4 separate regions of the Mus musculus genome follow, and regions 1, 2 and 3 are each reported to be linked to region 4. The links are microRNA targets in miRTarBase. Many come from high-throughput screens and were not tested one by one. Region 4 holds a microRNA gene; each other region holds the end of a gene's coding sequence.
What was found. Region 4 holds the annotated microRNA mmu-miR-15a-5p (UAGCAGCACAUAAUGGUUUGUG, at 2,183-2,204, opposite strand). A microRNA usually pairs through its seed, bases 2 to 8, with sites in the 3' UTR of a target mRNA and lowers its output. Matches are read on the target gene's strand: a 7mer-m8 pairs with bases 2 to 8, a 7mer-A1 pairs with bases 2 to 7 and ends in A, and an 8mer does both.

Region 1 (3,093 bases), not on the chromosome of region 4:
GCCATTGGCACCATCCTTGTCACATTGGGTGTCTTGCTCTACAACAAGGCCAGGCAGTATCAGCAGGAGACTATGCAGAGTCTGGTCACAGCCACCAGCCGAAACCCAGAAGATGACACAGAGCCCCTTGTTCCCCAGGACTCTAGACAGCACCACTGATCACCTGATGCTGTGTAGATCCAGGCCTAGATGTTCCTTCTGTACTAGAGGGAAATGATGCAGGGCAGGTCTCTCGCTCCTTCCTGGAAATCAGATGGGGAATTTGGGACTCAGCTTCTGCCTGGCAGAGCACCACAGGACCAAATGATCTACAGCTTCCCTGGCTGCAAGTGAACCAGTGTCTCCGTGCCCAGCCTGCACTGTGGAATAAGCACAGGCTCCAGGATCAACCCGAGTTGCTGTCTGTTTGATGCCATCCAGGAGACCTAAACTTTTCTATCACCACCACCACCACCACCACCACCACCATGGAAGCCTCTTGGTTCTTGACAGTCTATGAAACAGACATTCCAGATGCCAATGACTCTAGCATGGAGCCATAAAACCCAGAGTAGCAGGCAGAAGAGACAAGTTTCTCCTGCCACGGAGAGACAGTGCTGTGTGAAGGAGAAGTGTCTCCTCCTTGGCCTGTGCTACATTGAACTACCCTGCTCCAGGGTTGTTGTCCCATGTTTCTGCTACCATTTTGTGATTGCCCATTCTGGGAAGTTGGCAGCAAATCTCTAATTCAAGCAGATGGTCTGGAGTGCTTTTCCATTTTAAGTATGTGAATGTGAAGCGGGCGATTCTGAATGGCACAGTGGCTGCCCTATGAAGATTTCCCTTCAGGATGCTTGATAGGGACGTTCTGACGAGCATTTGAGTGTTTATAGGCTATGCTGTAGTTAAAGGGACACTTCTTTTTGATGTAGCAGGTGCCTGTCGAGGTTTCTCTGTGTCTCCATGTAAGGTACATCAAAGTGTACATGCACAACTAACTCTTCACCAGGGATCATATGATGACTGCCTGAGCCACCAGGTCTCCAGAGCTTAAGGTGGAGTGGAGGACAACAGTGGGCCTTGGGTTAACACGCTGAGGTTCTACATTATTCGGCATTTTGTGAGTTGTGTGTGGGGTGCAGTCTGTTGCTAGCCAGTCTCTAAGACTCCATTACTTACAAGCTGCAGCCACTGGCACTCCTTGTCCAGGTCTCACTGGTCCTCCCTGCTCTAAGTCTTTCGTGCACATGGTGGTTCAAAAAGATAATGGGGTGAAAAAGAGCAATAATTATGTCTACATTTTATTTACTTGAAAAAGCCATCTGCCATGATGATGGATCAAAATGAGGCCTTTTAATCCATAAGCCAACTTTTAAAAGAAGCTGATGTGTGCTGGACATCAGCTAGGTGTATCTTTACTATGCTATGTAAAGATATTGTGAAGATGTTCTCTCATTTGACTTTGCCCAGGTTTCTAGTTCCTTCCTCTTTGCTCTTCTCAAAATAAAGATCCAGTGGAGGACAGATGGCAGACGTTGGATTAATCTGTGTAGACCTGTCTGCTCAAGATCTGGCTGTGGAGCTGCTGACACCGAAGAGCACGTGCTTGTGGGTATTGGTTGGCAGAGCTCTTCTGGCCTTCCCGCAGACCTGTCTAAGTATGCTCAGAGCTCTACATGCCTGGCTTCTTACTATTATTTGGAATTTCTGCCTGTGTCCTATGTTTAATTAGGAAATGACCTATTGTGACTTGCTCTGGCCATCCCTCCCCCATGTCACAAGACTCAGCTTGTTTTGATTTTCTTAAGGTTTGGGCTAGAAACAAAAACAAAGATTTTTCTTAAAGCAATTTTCTCTAAAGCTGCTTTGAGACTTTTCCTCATAGGTGGAAAGATCATGGAATCAGCTGCTTCCTTCAGGTCTTCCAGGACAGGGCTGGGTTGAGAATCGTGGAACGGCCCTGCTTGACCATTTGTTATGACTATACCATAACAATACATTTTTAATTGACTTTGTTAGTACTTTCATAGAATACTATGTTCTTCATGAATTGTTACTGATGTAAATGTACAAATATTGACACCACGTGTCATTCCTTGTCCTGGATAATTCCTCCTGAGTTTATGTCATTGTCTGGTCTGTTGTAAACAGAACACTGGATTGACCTTCTGAGCCAGCTAGCTGCTTACTCACTGCACGCATAGTTAAAAGATATACACATTTCTAATTTCAAAAATAGTTCTAGGAGCTACAGAGATGGCCGAGTGGTTATGTTTCTTGCTGAGGACCCAAGTTCAGTTCCCAGAACTCATGTAGAGTGTTTCACCAACTTCCTATAACTTCAGCATTAGGGATTCTAATGCCTCTGGCTTCTCTGGGCATCTGCACACTGGCTTGTGTATGAACACACACACATATACACACACACATATATCTTAAAAATAAGTACATTTGCTAGGGGAGGTGGTGCAAGCCTTTAATCCCAGCACTTGGGAATCAGAGGCATGTGGATCTCTGAGTTTGAGGGCAGTCTGGACTACAGAACAAGTTCCAGGACAGCCAGGGCAACACAGAGAAAAGCCTGTCTTGAAAAACCAGATAAATAGATAAATAAAATTTAAAAACGTCCATGATTTGGGGTATACCTTAGTGGCACATCACTGGCATGTATTGTGAAGCTCTTGGGTTGATCACCAGCAGCAGATGTGGGACAGAAAGATAAAGGGGAGACAACAAAAATAACCCCAAAACTTCTAATACTAAAAGACAAGGAAACGTTTTTGTTTTTTGGGTTTTTTTGTTTTTTTTTTGTTTGGTTGGTTTTTTTTTTTTTTTTTTGGTTTTTCAAGACAGGGTTTCTCTGTATAGTCCTGGCTGTCCTGGAACTCACTTTGTAGACCAGGCTGGCCTCGAACTCAGAAATCCGCCTGTCTCTGCCTCCCAAGTGCTGGGATTAAAGGCGTGCGCCACCACTGCCCGGCCGGAAAGTATTTTTTTAATTCATTGTTTTGCCTGCATGTGTGTCTTTATGAGGGTGTTGGATCCCCTGAAATTGGAGTTACAGATAATTATGAGCTGCCATGTTGCTCCTGGGAATTGAATTCGGGTCGTCTT
Region 2 (3,116 bases), not on the chromosome of region 4:
GCCTTTGCCCTTTGGCCACTGTTTCCCTTTCCCAGTGTAGTTTCCCCGCTGTCCCTTCCACAGTGTTCTTCCCTCTGTGAGGTGTGTGGCAGCTGTGGGGCCTTAATGGCCCTAGGCACTAACGCAGTATCACGGAGCACTTCCTGGATTCTCCCAGTTAGGAGGCCATGGCCCTGAGTCCCACTGGCAATCAGGATTGCTAGCGGGTTGCCCAACAGACTGCAAGGGTAGGGGGGGAGTGACAAGGATGGTGCAGGATACCTCAGGATCCCTGAGAGGTGTGTGAAGCACCTCTTCCCCACAACCCCCTGTGCTGCCAACCTGGCCCTCTAAGCCTCACCAGCTAGGACCACATCTAGGGCCAATTCTATACTCAAAGGTCCCCTCTCGGGGCCATTCCCCTGCACTGTGAATTTCAGAGAGCCTCGTTGAACTCAGGATTTGGAGGCAAGAGGCCAGGGCTACTGGTTCACTGTAGAGACCAAACAGCTATCACCCCCTAGTGGAGCAGCTGGGGTACTGTCTCCGGCCTCTTCAGAGACAAAGAGGTGGGACTCAGTGAGAACCCAGTCACGCCTGGCCCGAGTCCATGGGGAGGCAGGAGAGCTGTGGCTTGGCACCTGAGGGGCTGGCCCATAAGAGCAATAAGCAAGGCTCAGCTACCTGGTCCCCAGTGCCAACAGAGAACCGCAAAAGCCCTTGCCCCGTGGTTGACCTTACGTACACATCTAGATTATTAAGCAGGGAATTCTATGTCCAGGCAGTGTACTCCTCCAGGTCTGGAGGCAGATGCTCAGTCAGACCCAGAAGCTCCACCTTGCTCCCACCACTTTCTATCTGGAGTCCCAGTGGGACTGTCTGGCAGCACTCAACACCTGCTATGAGCCACCCAAGCCTCCTAAGGACCCCCACCCTCCAGATTACCCCTGGCCCTTTAATACTGCCCATTTCTAGCCTGCTGCTCTACTAAACCCTGAAAAGGAAAAACCCTTTTCCAAAGGCCCTGAAAGTAAGACACTGAGTACCTACCCATGTGCCTATGGTTTAGGGCAAGGGTTAGGTAGGAGGTAGGAAGGGCAGAGGTATGGGACAGGTCTTCCCAGCTGCACACTATTGGCTAACTGTGCAACTTCTCCACCCTTGACCGAATCTGAGTGCCCTCACCCCCTGACCCCTTCCCCCACCCAGGCCCTCAGACCTATGGACTGGTGCTGGGTAGAGCACAGATCTCCCCCACCCCCATAAAACATCTGCTCCAAGTCCACGGGACCTCAGTCTCCCTGGCCACAAAGGGGACAAAGAGCCCCATGTTGCCTGAACCCCACTTTCCTAGGGCCCTCCTGGGACTCTAAGGAAGGCAACAGAAAAGACAGGCCAGGTGCACGTGACTTGGGTGGCAAGGTTCATAGGCTCCAGGTGGCGGGTGGACAAGGAGGGGGACCATGGTAGGAAGGCCAGCTGGGGCTCTAGCCAGCTGCTCACTCTTGGCCTCAATCCCATGACTCATCAGGCTTAGCCCTAAGTGCAGAGGCGCCCACAAGCCTGGGCACACTATGTCAATCCATGTTCCTCCAGAAGACACATCCAGGGAGCTGGTCGGTCTGTGCCGGGGTGGCAGGGCTGCGAAAAGGAGAACCTCCCCGGCACACGCGCCTTGAGAACTCTTTTAATCTTGTGCTTTCTTTAAATAAAACGGGTTGCAGCTTTCCCCTTGACAGCACTAAGGCAAGCATAGCAGCGTGGAGGTGGAGGTGGGGGTGGGGATGGGGGTGAGGAGGGTGCGGGGGGGGGGGGTGCAGGGCATCACTGAAGCTTTGGGCTCTGGCTCCAGGTGTGGTTCCCAGAGAGGGAGCAAGGAGGCCGTTCCTAGCTTCAAGCAGCTGGCCTCTCCCTGAGCTGACAGGACAGGTGCTAGGCATAGTCATGGAGCCCCAGACGTCATGGCGACCAGCCTAGAACAGGGTATATCCTCTTAAGAGTGGTGGGTATCACCAGAATCTTAGCCAATGACCAGCACCCACTTGCCCTTCTGTGTTCTCGGGGGCCCTTGGGTTGGTTCTGGTCTTGCTTCCCTGCTATGAGGTGACCCTCCAGATGGCCCACTGTCCCTGAGTAAGCTGCAGGCCCCAGCCACACCCATGACTACTCTGGCCTGCTTGGCCACAAGCAGCCCTGACTTTGGGTTCTGCTGGCCCTTGTGCTCCAGGACCCTGTGCATCTGGGCACACTAGAACAGTCTCGCTATGGGGACCCAGGAGGCAGAGCCGGGCCAGGACAACAACATCCACCCCACCAGCTGCCCAAAAATGAGGCAAGCACAGGGGAGTGTCAAGCGGGTAAAAGAAGCCAGGCTTGTCTGAGGCCATTCTGGTTAGGAGTGCACCCACCCCAGGCAGCCCATTCCCATGGAACGGACTGGCTGACAGGCGGGGCAGGGAGGATGCAGATGTGGCAGTCACTGGTCCTTTCTGTCACTGAGGCCGCTCTCAGCACGGAGCAGCTGGCTGCTGGTCTCATTGTAGGAGATCCAATGTTTCAAGTCTTCTGGCAGCTCAGGGGGCTCCACCTGCAGGGAGACAGGAAGTTGAGGTTTCAGAGAGCCCGGTGCCACTGTGAGCGCTAAGCAGAAGGCACAGAAAAGGGGCAAGCAGCCAGGCTGCTGCCCTTCTGCCTCTGGACCTCCTGCTTTATCGCATCCCCTACTCTGTGACCTTGCAGGAACCACACCCAAATTAATGACATCTGACCCAGTGCTCTCCCAAGCCCTTCTAACCTATTTTCTCCTTCCTAGCTCTTTCTAGCCCATCTACTTCTGCCAGGCCCTCACCAGCGGGACCACGCTTCAAGTGTCTGTCCCCAGAATCAGGCAAAAGCCTATGAGGTTGGCTGGGTGACTGACCACCACCAGCTGCCTAGAGAAGAGCAGGATGTGGGGAGGTGCTCCTGCAGGAGACTACCTGACAAAGCTGCTGCCCCGGAGTCCTTGCAGATAGGTTCTGAGGACTGAGGGTGAGGGAAGAGGCTCGATAAGGTGCTCTCTTCTCACAGCAAGTGCTACACGGCAGCCAGGAATGACTGACCTATAGTCTAGGCTCTATCTGGGCACACTTTACTGT
Region 3 (3,116 bases), not on the chromosome of region 4:
ACTTGGAAGGCAATGATGTTACCCAATCCACAAACTTCTACTTTGCCTCAGGTCCTACTCTAAGGTATGAAGTTTCAAAGCATAGCAAAATATATCCAAGTTATAGCAGGTCCCTTCAGAGATATTGCACTGTGCTGTCCTCCTGAACTGTGAGGGTAGATTCCTTCTTCCTCTTCCAAACAGGCTGGTAGCCCTTCTCCAGTGGGCTATGGAGGCTGTGGACAGCTCTAGTGCCTGCTGTAGATGGCAGCGACATGTAAACAGCAACTCAAGCTACCTTGACTAGGCAAGAGGTGTGGCTTTTCCTGTTGTAAAGGCATTGAGTGCTTACTTCCTGCCACCCAACCAGGCTAAGTTCAGCCTCACCTTCCCAGAACAGCTTTGGTAGGAGGCCAAGTGGTTAAAATCTGGGCATGTGTCTCTTATGACGATGTGGTTGGGGTAAGGAAGGCCTTTTTCACTTTCATTATCCAGATCCACAAGAGATGCACTTCTTCGTGATGTAGCCAAAGTCATCCAAGAGAGCTGATCTGAGGTCCTTGAGGGGTGGTTCTAGTGCTGGTGCCATGCAAAGTTATGAAGTTACTTACAAGGGGTTAGATTTTACCAATCAAATCTGCTCTTTTGGGGGAAAGGCACAGGGCCAATCCCAAGCTTAGAAACTGTGAAAAATATTATGAATATATGCCCTGGCAAAGAAAGTATGTCTACAAAGCAATCTTGACTCAGAAGGCCACCAGCATCTGTTCTCAAGGTAAATTGCCTTATTTTGAGCAAGAGCCCTATTGATATCTTCACTTAGTAGATGTGAAGATGGCTTTGAGGTGAGAAGAGGGACATGGGCAGAAGATTTAAAAAGTTCTAACTTTGATCAACATATCGATCCCCAAAATATTTCATATTCCAATACAGAAAAAAATTTAAAACAAGGTCTATCTTGCTATGTAGCCCTAGTGGCCTAGAACTCACTATGTAGAACAGGCTGGTCTCACACTCATATAACTCCAATTGCCTCTTCCTTCTGAGTGTTGAGATAAAAGGCACATACCTCCACACCGGGCCTGATGGAGAATTTTAAAGAAACTGTTTCATATAGATGATTAAGGAAATGTTGAACCTGGTCAAGATGAGCCTGTTGCAATGTTTTCCTGACACCAAGCTCTTCCCTAGTGTTTCCAACATTTAGGCTGGGCTTGCTTGGAGGCAGAGGCAGGTGGATCTCTGTTAGTTAGAAGCCATCGTGGTCTACATGGTAAGTTCCAGGCTAGAGAGAACTACAGTGTGGGACCTTGTCCAGAAAAAAAATATAGAAAAAAGAAAAAGAAACCTGCATGGATGCAAGAGAAGAGAGGGTGCTGTTCATTTCAGAAAGGACTGCAACTGCCATGCAAATCAGCCCTGTAGTTTGGCAGAGCAAGGGTACATTACAATCTTTCCTCTCAAGAAGCCTGGTCCTTTGAAAATGCTAAGAACTTGGCTAACTGGAAGATAAAAGCTTTTTAGTGTGCCTACAACAGGTGAGATGCCTTTGGCATCCTGTCTTAGACAAGCTTGGAACCACTTTACAAAGGGGCGGCCAAGGGTTTATTTATTTATTTACTTTTGGTTTGGGAGAAAGGATGGGAAAAGTTTTCCCTCCTAATCTGAGTTGCTTCAAGTTCCAAAGTCTGAGATCCCTTCTTGGTGTTTAGATAAATGGATCACCCTGTCTGTTTTCCTCTTTTGCATCTCACAACACCCAATGCTCTATATAGTCAAGCCCAATTTAGGTGGCTTCTCTTCCTTTAACTCAGTTAAGATACTACATTCATTGTGATGAGATGAAATTTTTCAGGGACAGGAAAAGGGGGAAGTTCTAAAATGCCTGCAACAGCCACAGGCTTAGGAAACAAACAAGATAGATATATTATTATTCCACAGCTCAAGACCTCACAGCATTTTCCATAAGCTATCTATCTTTGTATTCTGCTTGAATATGGACAGATTTAATCACCCCCTTATGAGGATTAGTGTTTTTGTCTTCAATCTAGACTATGGCAGGCCAGGTTAAAAGGACATCATCTAGTTGTGATACCAAAGTCCACAGCAACAGGGAGCGAGACACATGCTACTTGACCCACTCTAAACATAACTAACTGGGATAAATAGGTTATAGTCATTTGATGTGCTAGAAAGGAATGGGGTTAGGAAGGCTATGTACCATAACTTTATATTGCTAATAGCTAGCAAGCCTCCCATCTCTGGGTGAGAGTCAGTGCAAAAAATTGGCTGCTCATCAGTGGTTCATTAGTCAGCAAGGGACCAGAGAAGAGGGGTTCAGCCTGCAATAAGGATGCATCCCAAGCCCTGTATAGGTCACAAGAAACTCCAAAGCAAAAATTGGAGCACAGAAGCAGCAGCCTCCCTAGGCAGATATAATTGAGCTGAACCTGGCCAAAGATGGCAGAGGAAGGTGGGCAAAGTGAAAACTCAGAGGAGTTTATCTTAGCCAATAAGATTTTCAAGTGGAACAGCACTACTCACCCCTACCCCTCTGCCCAACCCTTGACCCCCAATTCACATGCTCAGGTCTCCATTCTGGAATTGATAACTACTTGGCTAGGTTTCCATTCATGGCAGTAGAGGAGTAGCTGGTAGAGAGAGAGGCACCTTGCTCACCCCTCTCCTTTGACAGGTCAAGGTTGGAAGCTCGATAGTGATTGGGTTGAAGCTGGAAGGGTTCAGGCCGCACCCTGGGCAGCTGAGGGATACCATGGGTGATACCTACAGGCTTGGCTTGAGACTGAGAGTTGGCTCCAGAAATGGAAGAGCAACTGGGCTCATCTACAGGCAGCAGTACATCCCGAGGCTTGGCCCTCCCACTCTGGGAGGCCTGTGATTGAAGGTTATAGCAAGGGCCCATGGGCAGGGGTAGGTGCGAAGGTCGAGCTAGCTGAGACACAGAGTCTCCAGGTGTTCTTCCTGGCACTGACACTGGCATTGCCACAGGAGGTACACAACAGGTTGCCTGCACATAGGAAGACTGATTGAAAGGCTCATACAACTGATTAGGGCTCATCCAAGCAAGACCTGGCCCCACTGGAAGAGGACAGTGAGCCCAGGGAGGCCAGTCATAG
Region 4 (3,116 bases):
CTACAGTGTACTCATACACAGAAAAAATGCTCCAAAAACGGAGTCTATAGTTAATTAAATCAACTTGTTAAAACTTACTTAATTTTACCTTTAAATTAGAATTGAGTAGTGGTTCTTTTGAGGACAATTCCTTAAAAAATAACTGAAATACTTTTAGGATCTCCACAACACACGGTAGAATTAATTATGAACCTTTAATCTGAAAAGGTAAGAGACTCCTTGTAAAAAGTAATGACAGAGTTAGAGGACATTATTGTGAGATAATGTGTTTTCTTGAACATTTTAAAATAATGACGTAAAACATTTAAAATAAAGCACATGGGATAGTTAAAAGAACATTTCCGGGCTGGTGAGATGGCTCAGTGGGTAAGAGCACCCGACTGCTCTTCCGAAGGTCCGGAGTTCAATTCCCAGCAACCACATGGTGGCTCACAACCATCCGTAACGAGATCTGACTCCCTCTTCTAGAATGTCTGAAGACAGCTACAGTGTACTTACATATAATCAATAAATAAATCTTTAAAAAAAAAAAAAAAAAAAAAGAACATTTCCTTTGAAATAATTAAAATATTCTGAATATATTTATAAAATTAATGACTGTTAGCTTTAATCTGAAGTTAAATATTAAGGCACAGATGAGATGTCTTTCATACTTTTGACTTATAAAAATCTCCTGTTAAACATTTTAGTGAAAAATAAGAAAAACAGTAATTATTAAGTTAGAAGATATAGGATTTATACCCTAATATGTCATAGGTTGCAAATTAAATTTCAGATTGTTTCCTCAGTTAACCAATAAAAAGGTCAGCTATTCTAAGGATTCTTCTAAATTTAAGTTTAAAAATTCAACGTACACATTTTAGTGTTATTCTCCTTCATTTAAAATGAAATATTTAGGCACATTATACTCAAGATTATGTTATAATCTGTAGCATTTCAAACTTTATCTGTATCTAAAGAAAACTTCAAATCAAGAGAAAAGTATTTTTCTATTATAAGTAATAATATGAGTTTAAATTCATGTACAATTTGGTACTTCCTAAACTCTTTCAAATAAACTTTTATATGGAAATGCTGGAAAGAGAGCTCGAGCCTTGGTGGTACTGGGTATATTCTGTACCACTGTAGCTCTCAAGAAACTCTGGAAAGGTGTTCAAGACTTAAAAATACTTGTTATATTATTAGTCAGTGCTCCATCTGTGGATCCAACCAACCACACATTCAAAACATTTGGGTGGCCAGGCATTGGGGCCTACAGTTTTAAACAAAGAATTTGGGAGGCGGAGGCAAGAGGATCTCAGTGAGTTTCATGGCAGCCTGGTCTACATGGTGAGACCCAGGCTCAAAAGACCAAACCAAAAAACTTATTTCTTGGACAAAAACTGCATTAGTACTGAATTGTACAGTTTTTTTCTCATCATTAAGAGAATAACTTGAATAATACAACTATCCATGTTAACATCCCACTGCACTACACATTAAAAACAATGTAGAGATAAGTTTAAATAAGTATAAGGGAGGATATGCACTGGTCACGAGCAGACATTTTATACAGGAGATCCAAGCATTTACAAATCTGGGTATCTAGAAGTCCTATAATCAGTTCCTCACACAGAAGTCATTATGTTTTGTTTGTTTTTAAAAGACAGATCCTTACATAGGTCTTAGACTTGCTTTATGGCCAAGGATGATGTTAAGCCTCTAATTCTCTTTTTTCCACTTCCTCAGATCTAGGATTACAAGTGTACCTGGTATGCAGTGGTAAGGCTAAAACCCATGGCCTTGTGCATGCTAGCAAGAAGCACTTGGCCAACTGAGCTGCATTACCATCCCACAATTATATAGTATTTTAACAGACACAATATGTAGAGCGTTGTTACTAACATCATTACAGAATCATACCAAACATAAAATCACTAATGCAATTAGAAAAACCGTGTAAACACACAAGTAACATCAATACACATTGAATTACAGTTGTAGAGTATTGCCAACCTTACTTCAGCAGCACAGTCAATACTGGAGGTAATTTCAGAATCTTAACGCCAATATTTACGTGCTGCTAAGGCACCGCTGACATTGCTATCATAGGAGCTATGAATAAAAAGACAGGTACTCTCTTCAGAAGATCAGGTCCTTGTATTTTGAGGCAGCACAGTATGGCCTGCACCTTTTCAACATCCACAAACCATTATGTGCTGCTACTTTACTCCAAGGGTTGGTTTTGAAAACTCCTAGCACCTCAATAGTAATTTACAGAAAAGGCTTTTTAGGAAAAAGTAGAACACATAAAATCTATGTTTGAAAAAAATCTAACACTGGTATGTGCATAATTTTATAGGCTTTCAGCAGAATAAAAAGTATTTCCATATCATAAGTTTAATAAAAGCGTACAGAAAACTTAATACAGTGCTGTAATTTATTGTAGTCATGAAACGAGAAAAGCAAGTCATTTTCCCATACCAACTTAAGAACCTCATTTATTAAACTAACAACTTTTGAATGTGCTTAACACATGAAATAGCTACAAAAGTTGGTTTTTACCTTATTAAGAGCAGCACATCTTTCAAAGCCAAATCCATAGGACAAAGCTTCATGTTAAAGGAAACATGTAAGAACAAACATGTAAGAGCTCAGTTTCAAGAAATTTATACTAGCAAAATATTTAGAAGACATACACATGAAACATATTCCCCAAAAATATATAACCCCCAATCTACACATGAACACAAGATTTATCTCAATATTGGAATAGTTATTGTGAGTTCAGTGTCATTTATTATTACCCAGAACATCATCTTAGGATAACAGGTCTATTTGGTTTCCTAAAAGGATATATCAGAAATCCTGTAGCTCAAGCCTAAGTAACCATTTGTGTGTTTCCCAGTTAAAAAGGCTAGTCCTTTAAAGGAGTATCATTTTATACCACAGGACTTTGACTTAGCTGAAACAAAATTTTTACTACGTTAAGTTCCAACTTCATTTTATGTGTGTGTGAATATCTAGGTTTTCTTACACTATTAAGAAGACTCTTTTCTGTTTAGTGGGGGACTTAGCCATCCCTTCACAAAGAACTGTTCTTATTATTCCAGTTCATACCAGATTTTCCATTCAAA

Region 1: miRTarBase lists Slc35e2 as a target of mmu-miR-15a-5p. The part of its 3' UTR that is shown has no 7-base or 8-base seed match.
Region 2: the mRNA of Them6 is a reported target of mmu-miR-15a-5p. Seed matches in the 3' UTR shown: 7mer-A1 at 1,733-1,739.
Region 3: the mRNA of Amer1 is a reported target of mmu-miR-15a-5p. Seed matches in the 3' UTR shown: 7mer-m8 at 2,392-2,398.

Annotation. Positions count from the first base shown.
Region 1 is chr4:155,618,591-155,621,683 of GRCm38, forward strand. Slc35e2 (solute carrier family 35, member E2) reads left to right here. Exons shown (of 9, transcript NM_177186.4): 9 at 1-3,093. The coding sequence ends at 159. The region is part of intron 1 of Gm16023 (predicted gene 16023); the gene reads right to left. Among named protein-coding and RNA genes, the nearest start is that of Gm16023, 4.6 kb to the right of the region's middle.
Region 2 is chr15:74,722,910-74,726,025 of GRCm38, reverse strand. It overlaps Them6 (thioesterase superfamily member 6), which reads right to left. Exons shown (of 2, transcript NM_198607.1): 2 at 1,653-2,566. The coding sequence ends at 2,456. Among named protein-coding and RNA genes, the nearest start is that of Them6, 3.2 kb to the right of the region's middle.
Region 3 is chrX:95,422,522-95,425,637 of GRCm38, forward strand. Amer1 (APC membrane recruitment 1) reads right to left here. Exons shown (of 2, transcript NM_175179.4): 2 at 1-3,116. The coding sequence ends at 2,591. Among named protein-coding and RNA genes, the nearest start is that of Amer1, 21 kb to the right of the region's middle.
Region 4 is chr14:61,629,893-61,633,008 of GRCm38, forward strand. Mir15a (microRNA 15a) reads right to left here and starts at 2,218; the gene lies at 2,135-2,218. Dleu2 (deleted in lymphocytic leukemia, 2) reads right to left here. Exons shown (of 7, transcript NR_028264.1): 4 at 2,545-2,591. It overlaps Mir16-1 (microRNA 16-1), which reads right to left and starts at 2,080; the gene lies at 1,988-2,080.